2 linked regions of the Elephas maximus indicus genome follow. The protein of the gene in region 1 purifies or fractionates together with the protein of each later gene. This does not show direct contact. Links are inferred from orthologs where the notes say so. Each region holds a gene or a part of one and is shown on either strand. Other genes may lie near its edges.

The links.
Region 2: the proteins of DR1 (region 1) and KAT2B purify together in Homo sapiens (affinity purification with mass spectrometry; 3 studies listed by BioGRID and IntAct, with this or other methods). This does not show direct contact. The link is inferred for Elephas maximus indicus from reciprocal best matches to the Homo sapiens genes DR1 and KAT2B.

What each region holds. Positions count from the first base shown.
Region 1 is NC_064821.1:148,820,030-148,831,132, forward strand, and holds the start of DR1 (protein Dr1), read right to left. Parts: upstream 5,210-11,103; 5' UTR 4,484-5,209; coding exon 4,264-4,483; intron 1-4,263. UniProt on the Homo sapiens protein: The association of the DR1/DRAP1 heterodimer with TBP results in a functional repression of both activated and basal transcription of class II genes.
Region 2 is NC_064845.1:19,717,988-19,728,049, reverse strand, and holds the start of KAT2B (histone acetyltransferase KAT2B), read left to right. Parts: upstream 1-5,727; 5' UTR 5,728-5,815; coding exon 5,816-6,115; intron 6,116-10,062. Other genes in the region: uncharacterized protein LOC126068496, read right to left, coding at 5,088-5,618. UniProt on the Homo sapiens protein: Functions as a histone acetyltransferase (HAT) to promote transcriptional activation. Has significant histone acetyltransferase activity with core histones (H3 and H4), and also with nucleosome core particles.

The sequences.
Region 1 (11,103 bases):
TCCATTAAAAAAATAATTATGTGATATACCTTTAAAAAATATAAGTCAGCATTCTCCAATTTCTTTTTGTTTGTTGGAGGGAAGGGGAGTGATGCAGTCCACTTAATATACATTAAGAGCCAAAATACACTAATGGCTTTTTGAATCATCACCCTGGCAAAGGTTTCTGAAGACCCTTAAGACCCGTATCTTCCTTAGTATTACTACTCATGGGAATCTGGGACAATGAGAGACTGATGGCAGGGTAGGAATAGGATATCATTCATCTTTACATCCTTAGCAGTATCTAGTACAGTGCCAACTATGAAACTGCTGGATGGCAGAAGGAAACGATATATCACTTTTAGAAAGAATGATAATAAAATCCTACCTGATTATGATAAGCTGTAAATTGTCTCTTTGGGGAAAAAAATCTGTGTATTACTTAGGCAATATATCATTCTCATTATTATTGTAAATTCTCTGCAATCACTCAGATGCCATGATCCCAAAGCTATCTCATACCCACTTTTCAAAACAGACTGTGGTTTAAACCTTAGAGTAAAGTTACTCAAAGTGTGGTCCATGGACTTGTGCCAGAATTGCCTTTAAAAGTCAGGTATGAGTTAAGTAAGGAAATTCAAAGAAAGCTTCAAGAAGTTTCATAACACGCCCAAGACTATGGCCCTAAGGCACCCCTCTGACTTGTAACTGCAGCCAATGCAGGAAACCACCTACCAGCCAAGCAACAGACAGGCCTATAAAATAAACAATAACGCCTGAAAAGAACATGCTCCGTAGAACAAACAATTATCCGAGACCAAAAGGGCAACATTTGCCCAAAAGTAAAGGTGAAAAGGCAGGGGTAGGAAAACCAGACAAGAGGAAATAGGGAACCAACGGCGGAAATGGGGAGAGTGCTGACACAGTGTGGGGACTGCAAACCAATGTCATGGAACACACTGATATAAGTTGTTGAATGGGAAACTAATTTGCTCTGTAAACTTTCACCTAAAACACAATAAAATATTAAAAAAAAAAAAAAAAAACTTTCACAGCAACTTAGCAGAGTAATTTATGTCCATTGGATCTAATAAAAATTTTAACTTTTATGTCTTTTTTTTCATTTCATTTTTCTAGAGATCCATTTTTATTGTATTTTACAAAAGTATCAGTGTGCAAAGGACTACAGGTTAAAAAAAAAAAAAAAAGTCCATCATAGATAGCTTGGAGCAACTTAACTGCTGAGGAAGCCAACTCTCAGAGACCTTTTCAAGCTTTCACTACTTTCAGTTACTGTTCTCATAAATGTGAAAAAAAAAAAAGTAGAAAGAGATTAAAAAATGCAGGAAGAAAATAATACCACCTAAAATATTCTCATTTTCACTTTGGTTTTACAAATGGCACCATGATGTAAAGATTAAATGTAATGTAACAGGCTTTCAGCTTTATATTCTTATCAGTACCACTACAAGTTTTTAAAATTGTAATTTATCGTGGCACATTTCACTTAAGGTTCTAACCCAACTGGTTCTCAATAATTTCAAGGTGCACCTGAAACCATTAAATATTATTTACACAGAAGTGGAAAACCTTAGCTAACAGATTTGCCTAAGGCCAAAGAATTTCCAGTGTACAGCTTGCAACTCTGGATTCTCCAGGATTCTCCATGTCACTTTGTCCCATAATGCAAGAGACATGTTAGAACTCATTCACAAATAAATGTTCACAGAAAACAGCAAAGAGATAAAAGGAATACTTTTTAAAACTTAGAACTCTGTCCATGGATCTGAAATCTTCTTTCTTAAAACTCAAAATAAGTAAACTATTTGGGGGGGGGGGGAACTAAGTTATAGTATTTCATAGATAAACTGGCAGTAACATGCTTTGACTTTATCTTCCATTTTACGGAATTGCCTCAGAATGCTTAATTTGCTTTGACAAGGTACAACAAGGTGACATGTGAACATGTGAAATGTACTGATGCAAAGTCTAGCTCATTAAACTTATTACTAAAAATTCAAGCTTCAACATGTTAGAATCATATCATTTTAAAAATTACATTATTATTTTACTTACGCATTGCATAGGGTTGCCATGAGTCGGAATCGACTCGATAGCACTTTATATATATATATCCTACAGTCCTAAAAAACCAGCGCTGACACAAAAGTGTAAAAAATGTCCCATCTACATGATTTCCCAACCTAATTTTCCAAAGTTAGTCTGTAAAACTATACCTTAAGCACCTAAACTATACACACCCTAAACATTTCCTTAAAAAATTTTTAACCACTCAAAACAAAAATTCTTTAAAATAGTTAGGCAAAATGAGGTTCAAATGAAATTATAAACGTTTAAAAGCTACTCCTCAAACCAGGGAGAATTCTTGGGCAAAAATGTGGGCCTTTATCCACTCAACAATAGCAATGATACAAGTTTAAAAAAAAAAAAGGTAAATTTATAGACTGTAACAGTCAATACATGATACTTTAAAATTAATAAATGACCCTCAGTACACAAGGAAAAATGCTTTCACTGTAACTTTCTGATTCATACATTACACAGAATTTAGCATATTCCAAAGTTGAACTATTTAGCACACTGCTTGCTACAGCTGCACTTTTATTCCATCATGTCAATCAGAAATCTAAATATATCCTAGAATAGAATAAACTCTCCCCAAGAAGACAGTTGTAATGTGTTATTAGATTTTGGGAACGATCCCCACTTCTCTGGTGTAAACAAATGTTTTAGCATATCCTACTGAAATCTTCTGCAATTTTCATTAGAAAGGCAATGTTGATAAAAGGTCCTTTTTTCTCTTCAATGAGTTGTAAAAGGAAATTATAGCTATCTGTGTGGGATTCTCTTGTGAAAGACTACATGATAGCAATCACACATACAATGTAAAATTAAAAACAGACAAAAATAGACACCTTGCCTTTCATTTTACTTGCTAGAACATTCAGCACACCAAAAAGGCAGAAAAAAAATTAAAATACTAGCTTTAAGAATCCCTATGTATTGAAATAGCAGAGTATGCTTTAAATCTACATTCAGCAGGTCAGTTAAGGATCAAAAATGAATCTTTTAGTTCCTTTGTCAATATTGACAGTAAAATACTGGATACGGTGAATATGAGCAGATGTGTTCTCTGCTTCAGTAGAACAGGAAGTCACCTTTGAAAAAGTTAAATTATAAAACTGAAATGCCAGACAACCATCTGCTTACCAAAATGATTAAATTAACCACTTAAAACTTTTCTTTTCCTGACTTCAAAAGCAATCAAGAGACTGTTAAGATTTTAAGGCAAGTTTTCACCTCAATTTGAATGCAACTTTCTGGGTAACAGTACATGTGAAAATCACAAAAAGTGTTTCCCAAAGCATGATGACTAGTAAATACGCCTCTCATCCCTGAAACCATCAGAATATGGTCCCCCAAATCCCTATTACTGGACTAAATGCTTTCCAAAACGAGAGGGGAAAAAAACTTAAATTTTCCAAAAGTGCTATTCAGTAAAAGACGAAATGTATACATCTAAATGGGAATGACAGCAGGAAAGTACAGGGAAATGTTTCATGAAAAAAACTGCTCACAATCTTCCAATCCAAGCTTTTAGTTGCATTCAAATTTATTTCCACACAACAAAGCAGGAACATTCACTCTTTCCTTACATAATAGAACTGAAACTCTTGGAAACTTGATGAACAACCATCAAACTATTTTAAACGAAAAATAAAAAGAAGTGGCCTTTACTAAACACCAATAACCTTTCCCAAGCTGAATACATTCTTGTTAAGAATTTTTTTATTCATGTGTTCAGAATATTGACCCTTTCCTCTACATTACTGAATAGGTGGAGCGGGAGAACGGGTGCTGTTTCCACTCCTGCTTGAAGTTCCTCTGTCTGAATTTTAACTTTCCAAGGGAGAACTTCTGGCTTCCTTTCTCAAATGTCATTATCTGGGTTCAACTTAGGGCAGGCAATTCTTGTTGCTTCGGCTGTAAATCGAGACCATTACCAAGAACTGATCTTTTGGGGCTGTGAGGTGACCTAAATGCTTGCAATCCTTAGTTGCATCGGCCGGATGCCAAGTACCACAAGAACACACAACGGGATTTTCCTAAGGAAAAAGCTGCCTCCTTGCCCGTGTGGCTTCTTCACTCAACAGTACTTACCAAGGAAGAGGAATGAAGGTTTTGACACAAACGGGTCACGCGACTAGCAGACTGTCCCCCGGCCCCTCTTTTAATCCAAACGCCACACGTACCACTTACCTTGTATGACATGCTCTGGTGAGATGGTCTTCTTTTCCGATTTGTTGCAAATCTCATTGGCTTCAGAAGATATAAGGTGAATGAATTCAGTGCAGCAGTTCACCACCAGCTCCCGGGCATCGTTGGCCACCCGGACATTGGGAAGAGTCTCTTTGATCATCTTATTGATAGCAGCTCTGGGTATAGTGAGATCATCATCGTTGCCAGATGAGGAAGCCATCGTACATTCCTATCTCTCGCACCCGACTTTTAAAAACTCCCCAGTTCTGGTCCACTACTCCACGGAGATTTCTGAAAAGGCCCCCTTCGGAGAGTGACCCTGAGGGGCGCTCTGAGAAGAGGGTGCAGAAAATAAGGGGGGAGGAGCTGGCTCGGCCAGGCGGGGAACACCCGAGTGTGTGAGATTTAGGGCGAGGCTGGTAGGAAAGTCGAAGGGCTGAGTGTTCTGGGGACAGCACTGCCGGGCCGAGGAAGGGTAAGCTTGGCGTGATCCGGAAATTTGAGGTGCTGGGCAACCACCTTCGTGTCTCCTCAGCGGGGCAGGAGCTGTCGCCTAACCGGACCCCAACGACGCCGGAGCAGAGGCAAAATCCAGGGGCACTGGCCTCCCCGAGGCACCGGACGTACACCCAGCGAGCTCGGCTCTACAGAGCCTGAGCCGCCGCCACCCCCGCCAGGAGCCGTTGCCGCCGCCTCGGCCAAACCATCCTTCAGATACCCGTGCCACCGCCTCACAACATGTCGGCCTCGGCCGCTGCTGGAATTGCGGGGGCCGCCTGGGAACGAATACAAACAGGGTAAAGCACAGGGAAAGCCGCAGTGGCAGCCCCGTGGCCGTTTATCCCGAACGCAGATCGTAGAAGCCGCAGCGGCTCCAACCGCGGCCCCTCCAGAAGCCTGAGAAGAAGGTTTGCCGGGAGCAGCTCCCGACACCCTTTGCGCCACCGGAAGCCTCGGCTCTAACCAGTTTCCCCCACCCTACCAGACCGACTTCCGGGTGTGGCTGCCACCCTTCCCCCACCCGCCCCGGCGGGAAGCACGGGGTCTCTCAGTAGCTTCCGCCTGTCCCGGGTCCGGCGTGCGGCCCAGCATCCCGCGCCTTCACTGGGGCCGTCGCCGAGCAAGCGCGCGCCTCACGGTACCGGGGAACCCTGGGAGCGCGCTTGCTCCAGGGCTGGGACCGCAGACGGTGGGTAGGGCGGGTGGATGTGAGAGAAGAGTTCAGTTCCTTCGTCTCTACTCTCCCACCACCAGCGGAGGCCTCGAAACCCTCCCCCAGCCGTTTTGGGGGACAAAGGAGCCCCGGATTTCCTTAAAAAGAACTCTCTGCTTTTCCTTAAGGAGACCAAATTGGTCTTGAAAGAGGAGACTACCCGAGCTTGGACTCGGGGCTGAGGATGTGGGGAAGGCAGAACCCCGTATGCCTGGTGTCTGCATCGTCCGGAAAGAAAGCTTTTGAAGATTTCTAATGGACGTTATTTGGATCACAGCTCACTATGGTCCTCCACCCATTTTCTCGTTTTTTATGGGAAAGGAGATACTCAGAAATAACTTGCCCAGTCACTACTGGAGGCTAAGCGAGAAACTAGAAGTCAGATCCATCGTAGTGGAAACGCCTAGCGTACAATGAGCCACATTACGAGATTTTAACGTAGCCATTTTTCACGTCGGATTGCACGTTTGCTTTTGGAGATGAAAAAAAAAAGTACTGTAGAGCATCTTAACACAACTCTGATTTTTGCCCCTCCAAGGTGACCCGTAATAGAAACTGGTGTCAAATTCTTCACAAAAATTGCATTATTTAAAAAATTGTGTCATACTGTCGTTTGGAAGAAGAGGCTACATTATAAATTATTGGGTGTAGAGATTTCTAAAAAATAAAGATACCATTTAAATCAGTTTTGGCACTTTAGTTCATCAGATACATTGGAAGGCAACTGACTTGTTTAAAATGTTTTTTTAAAAAGGTTTTATTTTGGTCTAAAAGCACATCCTAGGTGTGTGGCATCTGGAGGTGTTTTTCAGTTTATTACACTGTGTTTTCTCATTCAACATTTTCTCCAAGACATGTGCCGGGATCTTTGATTTCTAAAGTGTGGACGCTTGATTTTCAGTGCTAGTAAGTTTAGTCCAGACAAAAAAATTACTTAATAAAACAATATTTTAAATTTTTCTTCAAAATAGGAATGTGGAACTGTTGGCTCAGGTGTAACATCTTCATGAAGTGGTTTTGTCAGTCAGTTTACTGTTAGTTCAGAGAGAAAATTTAATTAAATACAAATAGCAGTGTGATATGTAATGAATATGCTAACCTGGATTCCATATTTAAATATTTATTTATAGTATAATATAGCCCTATTATAAATAGGAGCCCTGGAGGCACAGTGGTTAAGAGCTGGGCTGTTAACCAAAAGGTAAGCAGTTCAAATCCACCAGCTGCTCTTTGGAAATGCTATGGGGCAGTTCTATTCTGTCCTATAGGGTTGCTATGAGTCAGAATCCACTGGAAGGCAACGGATTTGGTTTTTTTGGTATTATAAATAGGCTTTTGGGAACAAGGATAACATCTTAATAAGCTTTATGAATCTTAAAGTACATATATCAGACATTTTTTCATGGTATCCAAAAATTCATGATATGACAGAAAACAATAGTACTGTGAGTTATTTTTTTATGATTATTTAGGCTTAACTGCTATAGTAATTATCTTAAAATATGTTAATTTATAGATACCCAGGTCTTCAGCTAAAATTACTAACAATAATACATAACATTCATAATTTGAAGCTTGACATTTCTGTTGCTAACATACAAATTGCCACTTGGTAACAATTCAAATTTCTTAAAATCTATCCTCTACTTCTTTTATGCTCGGCACTGTGCTAAATGCTTTTACCTGTATTATCTCATTTGATCCTCACAGTAACCATGTTTGTTAGATACTGTTTTAATCCCCATTTTACAGATAAAGAAATTGAAGTTTGGAAAGGCTAAATAACTTACCCAAGGTCAGTGTAGTAGCCAGGATAGGCTAGATTATGTTGCAAGAATAAATAACTCCCACACCTCAAAAGCTTTATTTCTTGCTCGTGCTCTGGGTTCATCAAGGGTCATCAAGAGGGCTTCCTTCATAGTCTCTCAGGGATCCATTGGAACAGTTGGGAAGAAAGAGGCTTGAAATACAGGCTTTTGAAAGATGGAGAGAAAGGAAGAAAGTATTTGTATTCAAAGTAACAACACAAAGTTGTGAAGACAAATTATTCTGGGAACAGTGAGAAGACTACCCTCCTTGCAGGAGTGAGAGAGAAAGGAGAACGCCAAAGACATAAGGCAGAAGGGATTAGAATAGCGTTACTGACAAAAACAGCAAAACTGAAAGGGAGCAGTTTAAAGAAGATGTGCTTACTTTTGCACATGTCTGGGTTTGAGGCATTTAAGGAAGTGATGTCGGGTAGGCAGAGGAAAGAGAAGACAAGCAGCATCTGATTCCTGCATTCACTCAACAACTGAGAGTCTACTGTCCTAAGTATGATGTGGGAGAAATAAATCTGAATAAACCACTCTTCTTGTTTTCAAGGAGCCCACAATCTGGTGGGAGAGGCAGAATATAAACCAGATGGAAATAAAATGCTGTGATAAAGACAGAAGATGGTGTGTACAGAGGAAGGAGTGATTGACACACCAATTGTGATATACACAGGGCTTTATGGAGGGCCCAACATTTCTCTGAGTCATGAAGACTAAGTAGAATTTTAATAAAGAAGAAACACAAAGTGCATTGTATGGCTTGGGAAAATCAAGTAGCCTAGAGTGGCTCTTTTTGGGGGGTTTATGAATTAGTGTAGTGGGATATGATGCTGGAAAAGTAAATCAGCTAAAAAAAAAAGCTAACAAAACAAATCAGTGCCTGTTATGAATGATACACTGTACGGGAAGTTTTCATAGGCATTGTTTCATTTAATTCTGATACAGCCCTACATACTAGGTGTTCTGACAGATGCAAAAACAGATTTCGAGGTGTCAGTAGAAGGAGGAGGGAATTTCATACAGCAGAGCAGCAAAAGCTCAGTGAGACAGAACATCGTGGTATTCTTGGTGAGCCGCAATATTTTGGTAGAGGATGTAGGGTAAGGAGCATACGAAGAAGTAGCATGAGAGAAAGCTATTCTGGTAAGTATAATAGTTAAGATTATTTTGGTTGCTAGTTAAATTGACTTTACTGGATACTGGGGTATCTCACAGAAACTTAGAAATTACTGAACAACCAGGGAAATTCTGTAGAACTCGGTAGTAGGAATCCATAAACTGTCTTCCTGATGGGATGTAAACAACTTTCCATCTCTCTGCCTCTTTGATCAAAATTCCAGTTTCCTAGTGCAGTAAGTGTTTGGCCAACCTGGATCATATTTCCACTCCTGTGTTATTCAGCATGACCAGGCTGCAAACTATGTGTGTGGATGTTTGCTGTTGTTCCATCCCTTTGATGGGAAGGGAGTTGTCACTGTGAACTGTGCAGCTGGCCTAAGAGGTGTTTCTTGTGTTCTATTCTTAGGTTGCTGAAGCCACATACCCTTTTCCCCCTATGTACAATGATAAAAATGCCTCCAACCAACATGACCCTGCCATCCCAGTACAACAGTTCTGCATCTGCACCCTTACCCAGCCTAAAGATGCATCCAACTGGTGGAAAGAATGTCTTAATGTTACTTTTCTCCTAGTCCTGACCTCTGGATATCAAGTATCCATTCCTCTTCTAGTTCTGGCATAGTCTCATTTAGGTGTGGCTCCTCCTGGTCCTCAATCCATGGACTAAATTATGATTACTATCATCACACTCTACAAATAATTTCACTGGGAGTGGGGACAGCAGTGATTGTTCTCATTTTAAAAGGGAAACAAACAAAACCTCGTTGCCATCGAGTTAATTCTGACTCATAGCAACCGTATGGGACAGAATAGAACTGCCCCACAGGGTTTCCAAGATGTGGCTAGTGGATTCAAACTGCTGACAACTTGGTTAGCAGCTGAGCTCTTAACCACCATGCCACCAGGGTTCCTTAAAAGGGAAAGGTAAGGCTAATTTTTCAGTCTTCAGGCATTCCAGCAAAATGTGCAGACCACTTTTTCCTATTCTGGTTCCTGAGGCTATAGCTGGTATACATGACTACCTATGCCGGGTTTCCTTGGTTACAATCTGGCTGGCTGTGGTTCCTTGCCTAGTAGGGTGATTTAAGCCTTCATTTTTGAGAGGTCTAAGCCCTTGGTGATGAGCAGCATCAAACATGTCAAATTAAACAAAGGCAATGCAGCAGATTGGAGGACGACTCTGAGGTAGAATGACTGGGGACCAAGAAATATTTGTGAATAAATGGTTCCTATTTTACAGATGATAAAACTCAAGCACAAAGAGCCTAGGTAACTAAAGTGAAAGAACCAGGGTTTAAACCCAAGGTGTCTGGCTCCAAAGGAACTCTTCTTCATAGCTATGTTATGCTGCCCCAGCGCTGCCAATGTGGAGATTGAGTTCGGTGCTGGGCCTTCCATACCCGTTGCCAATTGAGTTGATTCCAAATTATGTTAACCACATGTGTGTCAGAGTAAAACTGTGCTCCATAGGATTTTCAGTGGCTGATTTTTAAGAAATAGATCTCCAGACCTTTCTTTTGAGGCGCTTCTGTGTGGACTCAAACCTCCAGCTATTCAGCTAGCAGCTGAGCAAATTAAATGTTTCCACTACCAATGGACTCCATCTGCATGGGATTAAATCATATCATGGCTCTTCAATTTTAGTCTTGTTTCGTGAGCAAGAATAGGTTACTTAATTTTTTTTTAAGTCTCGGTCTTTTAATCTATAAAATGGAGGCACCCTTTAAATGTGTGGCGTTTCATAAGTGAATTTATAAAATGGCTATTTGCCTTAGGCTGGGTTCTCTAGAGAAGCAAAACCAGTAAAGGTATAAATATATATATATATTATATATATATATATATACATATATATATATATAGAAAGAGATCGCATTGGGTAAATCTGCTGCAAAGGACCTCTTTAAAGCATTGAAGAGCAAAGATGTCACCTTGAAGACTAAGGTGCACCTGCCCCAAGCCATGGTATTTTCAAAAACATCATATACATGTGAAAGCTGGACAATGAATAAGGAAGACCGAAGAAGAATTGACGCCTTTGAATTGTGGTATTGGCGAAGAATATTGAATATACCATTGACTGCCAAAAGAATGAACAAATCTGTCTTAGAAGAAGTACAACCAGAATGCTCCTTAGAAGCAAGGTTGGCGAGACTGCGTCTTACATACCTTGGATATGTTGTCAGGAGGGATCAGTCTCTGGAGAAGGACATCATGCTTGGCAAAGTACAGGGTCAGTGGAAAAGAGGAAGACCCTCAAGGAGGTGGGCTGACACAGTGGCTGCAACGATGAGCTGAAGCATAACAACGATTGTAAGGATGGTGCAGGACCGGGCAGTGTTTCGTTCTGTTGTGCATAGGGTCACTATAAGTCGGAACTGACCCAACGGCACCTAACAACAACAACAACAACAACAGAAAGAGATTTATGTCAAGGAAGCAGCTCATGTGGTTGTAGAATCTGGAACGTTCCAAGTCAGTGGATCAGGATAGAAATTTCTCCTGATTCACGTAGCCGCAGGGGCTGGTGAACCCAAGATTGGTAGGTTGGAGAGCAGAGCTCTTGCTCACAGACTGTGAAGACTGATGAATCCCAAGATTGGCAGGTGAGACTGCAAGGATTCTCCCAATTCACATAGCTGCAGGGGCTGATAAACCCAAGATCAGCAGGTTGGAGAGCAGGGCTCTTGCTCA
Region 2 (10,062 bases), on another chromosome or scaffold:
ATGGGCACACCAGCCCAAAAGCAAGATGAGAAGGTAGGAAGGGGGAAGAAAATTGTACGCATAGAAACAGGGGACCTGGGGTGGAGAAAGTGGAGGGTGTTGACATATCTTGGGGTTGGCAACCAATGTCACAAAATGATTTGTGTATTAACTGTTTAATGGGAAACTAATCTGCTATGTAAACTTTCACCTAAATCACAATAAGAAAACATCATTGCAATAAACTATAATTACACCTGATTAAAAAAAACAGCATGCTACTGGCATAAAGATAGACATACAGATCAATGGAATAGAATTGAGAGTCCAGAAACAAATCTTCACGTTTAGGGTAAATTGATTTTTGGCAAGAGTGCCAAGACAAGTCAATGGGGAAAGAACGAATCTTTTCAACAAATGTGCTGGGAAAACTAGATAGCTGGATACGAAGGAATGAAATTAGACCCTTACCTCACACCATATAAAAAAGTGAACTCAAAATGACTCACAGATATAAGAGCTAAAACTATAAACCACTTAGAAGAAAATACAGAAATAAATCTTTGTGACCTTGGATTATGCAATGGACTCTTACATATGACACCAATAGCACAATTGACAGAATAAATAAATAAATAAATAAATAAATAGGTAAATTGAACTTCATCAAAATTAAAAACTTTTGTGCTTCAAATGATACCATCAACAAAGTTAAAAGGCAACCCATGGAGTGGGAGAAAATATTTTCAAATCATATATCAGATAAGGGATTTGCATCTAGACTATATAAAGAACTCTTACAGCTAACAATTAAAAGACAAATAACCCAATTTAAAAATGTGTCCGAATAGACGTTTTTCCAAGGAAGTTATACAAATGGCCAAGAAGCACATGAAAAGAAGTTCAACATCATTAGTCATCAGGGAAATAAATGCAAATCTAAATCATAATGAAATATCACTTCATACTCACTGAAAACAAAACAAAACGAAAACCAAATCCGTAGCCTTCCAGTGGATTCTGACTCATGGCAACGCCACGCGTAACGGAACATAATCACTCTGTGTGGTTTTCTTGGCTGTAATCTTTACGGAAGCTGATCAGCAAGACTTTCTTCTGCACGGCCAATGGGTGGGTTTTGAAGCCATCAACTAATAGGTTCTTGTCAAGCAGACTAGCGAATTGAAGTCAGCCAGACACAGGGTTGGAAGAACAGAAAGGTTTATTCACAGTTTGCAAACTGGGAGACAGGCAGGGTCTCATGACCTAAGGATGCCAGCACTCTGGACCAGGGCAGATTTGCTCCTTTATAGGGAGTGACTTACATATGCATGAACAGTGAGGGGACGATCTTCAGTCCTTTGAGGTGTGCAGCCCCCATAATTTTAGGGAATGGGTTTTTGCCCACTGCTCTAAAAATACTGGGCAGAGCCCTGAAAAAATGGCATCGGCTTGCTCCTGCCACCCCCGGGAAGGTCATGTAGTGGGTAGATTCGGAGTCTGTGCTCCTGTGCTTTGGCCTCCTGCCAGGAGAAGACAAGAAACCTGTGGATTTGACCGATCATGGCGAAGTGCTGTAAAAGTTGTAACAAAAACATAGCAAGATTAGACTTTTCTGAAAAACTATGATGGGATGCTTAATAACCTTTTCATGACTGCCTGCTTTAGTTTGAAGGGTCAACCTTTAGATTAATGTTGTTGTTGCTAGGTGCCATTGAGTGGGTTCCAACTCATAGTGACCCTACATACAATAGAAGGAAACACTACGCAGTCCTGAGCCATTCTCACAATCAGGGCTATGCTTAAGCCCACTGTTGCAACCACTGTATCAATCCATCTCATTGAGGGTCTTCCTCTTCTTTGCTAACCCTGTGCTTTACTAAGCATGATGTCCTTCTCCAGGGATTGATCCCTCCTGATAACAGGTCCAAAGTGTGGGCGTCCTTGCTTCTAAGGAGCATTCTGGTCCTGCTTCTTGCAAGACAGATTTATTTAGCTTAATAGTTGAGTGCAAACCATTTGTGCCACTCAGCAACATTTAAATTCATACAATGGAATAGTATTCAGCTATAAAAACAGCTGAAATCCTGATTCATGCTACAACACGGATGAACCCTGAAAACATGGTAAGTGAAAAAAAAAAAAAAAAACTAGTCACAGAGGACCACGTACTGTGACTCCATTCATATGAAATGTCCAGAAGAGACAAATTTATAGAGACAGAAATTAGATTCATGGCTGCCAGGGACTGGAGGGAGGACAGGCTGAGAGTTTTCTTTTTGGGGTGGCGAAAATATTCTAAAATTGATTGTGATGATGGTTGTACAATTTAGTGAACATACTAAAGCTCACTGATGTGTACAATTTAATAGGGTGGACTTTATGGGATGTTAATTACATTTCAATAAAGCTGTCGTATTTGAAAAAAATTTGGAAAAAAATCTGAAATTAACATGTTGCCAATAAGGCTCAAGTTCTGGATCCCCTCTTGTTTTACCTTCCTTGCTCTGCTCTCCCCCATATCATGAAACTACGCTGAAGAGTTTGCCATGCATCCTTCTAGATCTTTCTCTTGCTTTTACATTTTTATTTGCATTGATTGAACATTCACAGAATTGCATTTATATGTCAATGTGAGTTTGTTTTTAACATAAATAGTATTACACTGTACCAGGGTTCATTCAACAGTGTTTCTTGGAGAGCTGTTATTGAATTGATACAATATAAAGGCTACTCTATTATAACAGCTGCATAATATTCTGTAATATAAATATACCACAAGTAACCTTTAGTGGTCAGCCCGCCCCCTATAATTCTCACTCCCTGTGCCTTTGTTTTTTTCTTTTTTGTGGCATCCTTACCTCAGTGAGTTGCAAATGTTTTTAAAATGAAACATCGTCTTTTATTTTCTTGGTATCTACAGGGTAACAGAGTGCTGTGCACACAGGAAAGCTTAAAGCTTACTAAATGCTCTTAATAGCCTGATTGTTGTTAGGTGCCGTGGAGTCAGTTCCGACTCATAGCGACCCTATTAGCCTGATTAGGAAGAGGCAATAAGGCTCTTGCATCCTTTGCCTTTGAAATTTCCCTGCCTGGTGCTCATAACACATTTTGAATATGCCTTAAAATGGTGGGCCTTCAGCCTAAGGCAGTGTGTCATCTGGATGCTCTGAGCAGGAAAATAATGAAAAATCATATTCAGTTGATGTCACAAGCCATTCACCATTCAGACAGTGATGGTTTTCAGAGTGGTTTGAAATGAGGCTGGTTACTTCTGCTTCAAAACATTCTGGGAATAGCCTGCTTCCTGAATTCTGGGAGTAGCTTAGGAGTAGTTGTGAGAGGTAAGTTAATATTAAAGGTAGATTTTTCTCCCAACATTTTATTATAAAGATTTTCAAACGTACAGATTAGTTGGAAGAATTATCCAGTGAACACCCACCACCTAGATTCTACCATTAACATTTTGCCCTACTTGCTTTATCACACATCTGTTCATCCACTCCTGTGCCCATTGATGGATGCATCAATTCATCTTATTTTCTGATGCATTTCAAAATAAGTTGTAGATGTCGGTACACTGCACCCCTAAACTTTCAGCATGCATATCATTAACTGGAGTTCAGTATTTGTTTATGATTCAGAAAATTTTTTTGAAATTCACTTTACATCAAATTAAGTGCACAGATCTCAAGTAGACCATTCCAGGAGTTTGACAGTGTCTACAATGTAACCCAAACCAACCAAAAAAAATCACACCTATTGCCATTGGTTCCAACTTATAGTGACCCTAGAAGACAGAGTAGAGCTGCCCCACAGGGTTTCCAAGGGGCGACTGACGGATTCAAACTGCCCACCTTTTGGTTAGCAAGCCAAGCTCTTAAACCGCTGTACCACCAGGGCTCTAACCCAAATCACTACGTGATATTGCTCGAGGATTTTTAAGAGATTTGCTAACATTCTGATGCTCGAAAAGTCTGATTAGAGGATCACGACTTTTAAGACTCCCATCCTGCTTTGGCAAGAATGACCAAAAAAAAAAAGAAAAGAAAAGAAAAAAAAATTGCAAAACACTTCAGCAGAGCCAAGTGAAGCACCTTAAGCCAAGAAAGGAAGCACTGAACTAACTGTCCTGATGGAAACTGATGAGTCTTTCAGACCTTCAGAGTGGACTCAAATTAGGAGTGGAAATTTCCTTTTGCCCTTTCTAACATCACTGTTTCAACGTACAAAGTTATTTTTTTTTTCAATTTTTACATACCCCTCTGCATGAAAAGCCAAAAGAACAAAGAAAATCTGGGAAAAAGGATAGAAAAAAATTCAAGGGGGGACAGAGGGAGGGGGAGGAAGGAGGGGAAGGAATATGTTTGTTTCCCGGGGACAAACACGGTGGCTTAAGGCGTGTCTGGCCTCCTGTGGGGGTGGGTGGGAGCTAGAAGGCATCCGAAGAATCCGATAAGCATATTATGACCCATTTTACATATGATAACACTCGCCCTGCAAAATTAGGGCACTTCTGAAGGATACTGAGAAACAGCAGTGGGCCTTTAAAAAGTCTTCGAAAGGCCGACCTGGCACGAATTTCAAATGCAAAACTGAAATGTGGAGTGAACATTCCAAAACACCACCCTCCAGGCCAGCAACAGCATGAGTTGAAAACTCACAGTTCAGCTAAAAAAAAAAAGTTTGAGGCCAAAATCTACACTTCTCCTTTGGACGCTGCTTAAACAATTTTTTTTTTCCGGTTCATATGCATGCTGGTGGCATCAAAGTTAAAAACTAAGGAAAATTATAAAAAAGAAAATGGCAATGATGATGAACCCTAACATTTTTCCAACTTTTCCGGCTTAGCACAGTTTTATTTTGACAGTGCTTTTAGGCAATCGTTCTTCTAACTATCAGCACTTTCAAAAAAAAAAAAAAAAAAACCTACCGAACGTATTGATTAACAGTCTATAACAGTCTATTCCCTCTTGTGGCAGATTTGGTCCAGAAGTTGCTATAGGAAGAAAGCGTTTTAATTAAAAAAAAAAAAAAGTTTGACAGAAATGTATTTTAAAAGAAAACACCAAGTCTTTTATTTTGGTGAATTAGCAACAAAGAAAGGATTAGCATGGACGGGTACTTTTCAAAAATATTTTTTTTCCTCGGGCTCCCGCTAGGGTGGAGGAAGTTGTCTCGCTCCGAGGGAGGGTGGGACGGAGTGGCAGGACAAACGACTGGAGTCCCCCGCCCCTGCCCCAGGCTCGGGAGCGCGAGGGTCGGCGGAGGGGCCGCCGGGCAAGGCGGGGGGAGGCGGCCAGCAGGTGCCTGGGCTCCAGCCCCCTACCCCCACCCTCCACTCCACCCTCACCCCCCAGCCCGAGCTTGGCCTCGCCCCCTGCCGGGTGAGCGCTAGGTGCCGAGGCCTGGGGGCAGGGGGCGCAGACCCCGCGGGGAGCGGAAAGAGGCCCAGGGCGCCCCGACCCCAGCACCCCCGTCGGTGGCCGCGAGGACATGTCCGCGGCCCCCGAGCGGAGCCCAGCCCCGGGGAGCGAAGCCGGGCCAGGGCGTGTGTAGCGGCGGCGGCAGTGGCGGCGGCGGCAGCCGGGCCGCGAGTCCCCTCCCTCCTGGGGCGCAGCTGCCGCCGCCGCCACCATCAGCGCGCGGGCCGCGGCCGGAGCGAGCGGGGCGCGCGGCGCGCGGGGGAGGGCGGGGGCGGGGAGGGGGGTGGGCGAAGGGGCGGGAGGGCGTGGGGGGAGGGTCTCGCGCTCCCGGCGACCAGACCCGAGAGGGAGACCCTGGCGGCGGCGGCGGCGCCTGACACTCGGCGCCTCTTGCCGTGCTCCGGGCCGGCATGTCCGAAGCTGGCGGGGCCGGGCCGGGCGGCGGCGGGGCAGGAGCCGGGGCGGGGGCCGGGCCCGGGGCGCTACCCCCGCAGCCCCCCGCGCCGCCGCCCGCGCCCCCGCAGGGCTCCCCGTGCGCCGCCGCCGGGGGCTCGGGCGCCTGCGGACCGGCGACGGCAGTGGCGGCGGCGGGCACGGCCGAAGGACCGGGAGGCGGCGGCTCGGCCCGGATCGCCGTGAAGAAGGCGCAGCTGCGCTCCGCTCCGCGGGCCAAGAAACTGGAGAAACTCGGAGTGTACTCCGCTTGCAAGGTACCGGCTCGCCGCTCCCAGCCCGCGGGTGGGGGCGAGGGGCCCAGCTCCGGGGGACCCCTGCCCCCTCTCCCTCCGCCCCCGCCCCGCCCCGCCTCCCGCCTCCCGCCTCCCGCCTGGGGCCTCTGCACCGCGGAAGTGCTGCTGCCGCCCGCGCCCAGTTAGCTCCTTCTTGGATAAGAGTCCTGTTGGGTTGGGAGAAGGGGGATCCCCAAGATCGAAAGCCCTTTCTTCATTTCTCCCTCTCGGACCGAGTAACCTTAGCTTCCGAGCTCCCGGGCTGCCCTGGGGCTTTGTCGCTGTGTAGGAGCTCGCCAGAGGCGCCTACCGGAGAGTGCAATGGTGCTCACGGTGTGGCGGGGCGCCCCAGGGCCAGGGAAGCATCTTGGGGACTGAGCAACCCCCTGTGAGCCTGGCCTTGCCCCTTGCCCCATTGGGAGGGGATGGGTGCAAGGAGTGAGGGTGGAAAAGGCTCCCGAACTCCAGGCACCTGGGGAGCGAAGGGACGGAACGCGCGGGATGGGAAGGTGGGCACAGCCCAAGGAGAGGGTCCTGGAGCGCCTGGGGGGGGGGAGGCTCTGCGGCACGCGGTGACAGCACTGTCATTATTGTATTATTACTTGTTTAGTTAAAATGCTGTCCCAGCTGCTCGGGGTGTAAACAGGATTTGGCGAGGTGACAGCCCAGCGCAGCGGGCGCTGCTGCTCAGTTTGAGGACACACGTTTCAAGCCATCCCCTTCTCCGTCCCAGCTTTCGGCGCCCCATGGCCCCCCAGCTGTAGACCCAGATGTAGGGGCTGCACTCCTGGGGAGGGACGATTGCCCGAGGCCGCGGGGCAAGCTGGCCCTGCGCTGTCAGCAGCGGCTTTGTTTTGACAGGGTGACAGCTGAGGGGGGCGGGGACTTGGCCTTGTCAGCTCCTGCGGCCTGTGGCTGAGGCGGGGAAGACACACTCACAGGCACTCACCACCTCCCGTGTATTCCTCCCGCCTGCTGCAAACAGGGTCAAGTTTCCAGGGTTCCAGATTGCCACTACCGCGCTACAATGGTCACTTCTGAATTTTGGTGTAACGGTTATTCATCCAGCTAGAATATCTTGACCCTCCTGGTGATGCTTTTTTAGTATTTACACGAAATGTCTGTGTTTGCTCTCATCCCAGCCATTACCATCCTCATATATATATTGAGCACCTACTGTGTACCCTACACTGATTCAATAAATATTTGCTGAGTGAATGTAGGAACCAGTACAGTGCTTCCCAGACTTTAATGTGCATGGTAATCACCAGTATTAAAATGCTGATTCTGAATTACTAGGTCTGAGGTGGGGCCTGAGACTCTGCATTTGTAACAAATTTCCAGGCGATGCAATGCTGGTTCAATTCCAAGGTAGCAAGATCTAGTTCAGACCTGGATAATATGGTATTAGTCCCTTTTGAATTCAGCCAAGAAAACTGGAACTGTAGAGTGATAATGTCATGTGGTTGGTATTTCTGAAGAAGGAATGCAAAAAAAGATAAAAAAAAAAAAAAAACGAAAGGCAAAGCTAGGAGTTTGGTTATGAAGGGCATTAGACAGGATAGTGAGAACAGGACCTTGAGTGTAGTTGGCAGATGAGAGAGCTATACGCAAAATCAAGAACAAGTTCAATTATGCAGTGGGGTTGGAGTTTTGCAGGTGGGGTTGGTTCAGGTAGTTCAGGTAGCGACTGCGTCAGCTGGGTGTTTCTGTCCTGGTGTTTTATTGGGTTCCCATCGTAAACACGTTTTCTCTCTGCTCCCTGGCTGTTGCCTTAATATCTGATGACTTCCTAAAGTTTTGGTTCTGTGTAAAACCAGGAACCTATGTGCCCTGCACTGGTATTTTTGATCCTTCCAAATTTCCATGAGTGAGATGTAGTACCTTTTCTAAAGTTTGTGACTTGAGCTTCATGTTTCCATTTACTACCAAACTTACAGGAAGGAAAAAACCTCTCATATCTCCTTTAGAGACTTACCTTCCTGCTCTTGGGAGACTCTGCAAGCATCAAATTTTATTTACTTATTCATTCAGTAAATAATATAGAGGGGTCCCATATGGGTGCCAAGTACTGTGCTGGGGCTGAGACACCCAGAATCTATCATGGTGTTGCTGGACAGCGTGCAGATGAGTGTGCATCTCTTGTCTTCAGGACTTGGGGAGTTGGAGAGTGAAGCAGTTACAATAAAGTTTGGAAAAACTACTTTCTCAGAGTGGTGTGGGAACCAGAGCAGGGCAGTTCACTGGGTACCAGGGGAAGGGTGGGGATGGCTTCCTGGAGGAAGTGTCAGTGGGTGCTATAAGAACTCTTGCTATAGCGCAGAGAGGTGGGGTGAAACTTCTTGAGAAGGAGAAACTGAAAGCTGTGCTGAAAGCTTGGAGCCAGGCCAGCAGGAGCCAGGCCTCCACTGGCCAGGTGATCAGGTTGGGGGGTGTGGCCAGGAGGGCACTGGGGCATCTGGGAATCTTAACCTGGAGAGTGACATTATCAGATTTTCTTTTTGTTTTAAAGGGGCTTGGTTGAGTGTGAGGTGGTGCCAGAGAGCAGAATCCATGTTTTTTTCTGTTTGTCTCTATATTTCATGTAAAAAGCCCCGAAGGACAGATGGTTCTATCTTTTGCTACTGGCCCCTTCAGCCAGTTGGAGAGAGTAGCGATGTTAGGGAATAAGGAGGAATCTGGAAAGAGATGAGGTAGTTTACTGGGAGCTATTAAAAATGCATGCGCAAAAAAGGAAAGAAAACAAAAGTAAAAAAACCAGGTCCTAGACCTGAGAAAAGAGAAGGGGAGTTGGCCTTTAAACTTCATGAATGAAACAGAAAAAGAAGGGGCTAGTTAACAGTCAGGGTAGTGTGCCACACCCCGGGAAGAAGAAAATAAGAAAAAAAAACAAACTTGTTTTGCAGGATTCAGGCTAGAGTTCTTTGAACTGTGTCCTGGCGAAGGTTGCCTCATAGAGCCACCTTGCTGACATCTGCCGAATGATCATTAAAAATGTAGATCTGACCGTATTAAGTCTCCACTTAACCAAAACCCAAACCAGTTGCCATGGAGTTAATTCCGACTCATGGCAACACCATGCAATGCAAAATAGAGCTGTGCTCCGGAAGGTTTTCAAGGCTGTGACCTTTTGGAAGCAAATTGCCAGTCCTTTCTTCCAAGGCACCTCTGGATGGGTTGGAACCTCCAACTTTTCAGTTAGAAGTCTCTACTTAAAACCAAACCTATTGCTGTCAAGTTGATTCCAACTCATAGCAACTTTTTAATTTCTCTTTACTGGGACCCACAGTGTCTCACATGGCTTGGCCACAGCTTCCTCTGGCTCTCTTTTAGGGCCTTGAGTACATGGTTCTCTTCTACCTCGGGGCCTTTGCACATGCTGCCAACTGGAACTGAAAGTTCTTCCTCTTACCACTCGCTTCTGAATTAGCTCACAGTTCCTCTTGCAAACCTCAGAGTCCTTGTCTTTCCTTTACTCCCCAGGCCAGCCTTCCCCATTATAAGTTCTCGAAACTCCTCTGTACTTTTCCTTTCTGGTGCTTTTTTCACGTTATTTGATATGTATTTGACTAAGAGTCTAAGTGATGTGGTTGTTGACTGAATGAATGAACTAGAGAAGAGAAAGCTGAGGAAGTAATTAGCTGTTAGGATAGCAGTTGTGAAGTTTTAACTTGGCCACTTTTTGACAACTGGGCAGAGGAGGTTTTTCATGTAGGGCATTTCCGGGTGACTCACAGTTGTTGATGGGACTAGGTATTTAATGCTGTAAAAGAAACCCCAAGTGAGTGTACGAGTAGCCCAAATCCACCCAGTCTTCCATGAATTAAAGTGTAATTTATCTAACTTAAAAAATAAAACCCAAACCACTGACTGACCCTTCCTAATGAAATAAACCATTTGTACATAAGGGGAGTCAATAGGATGTAATG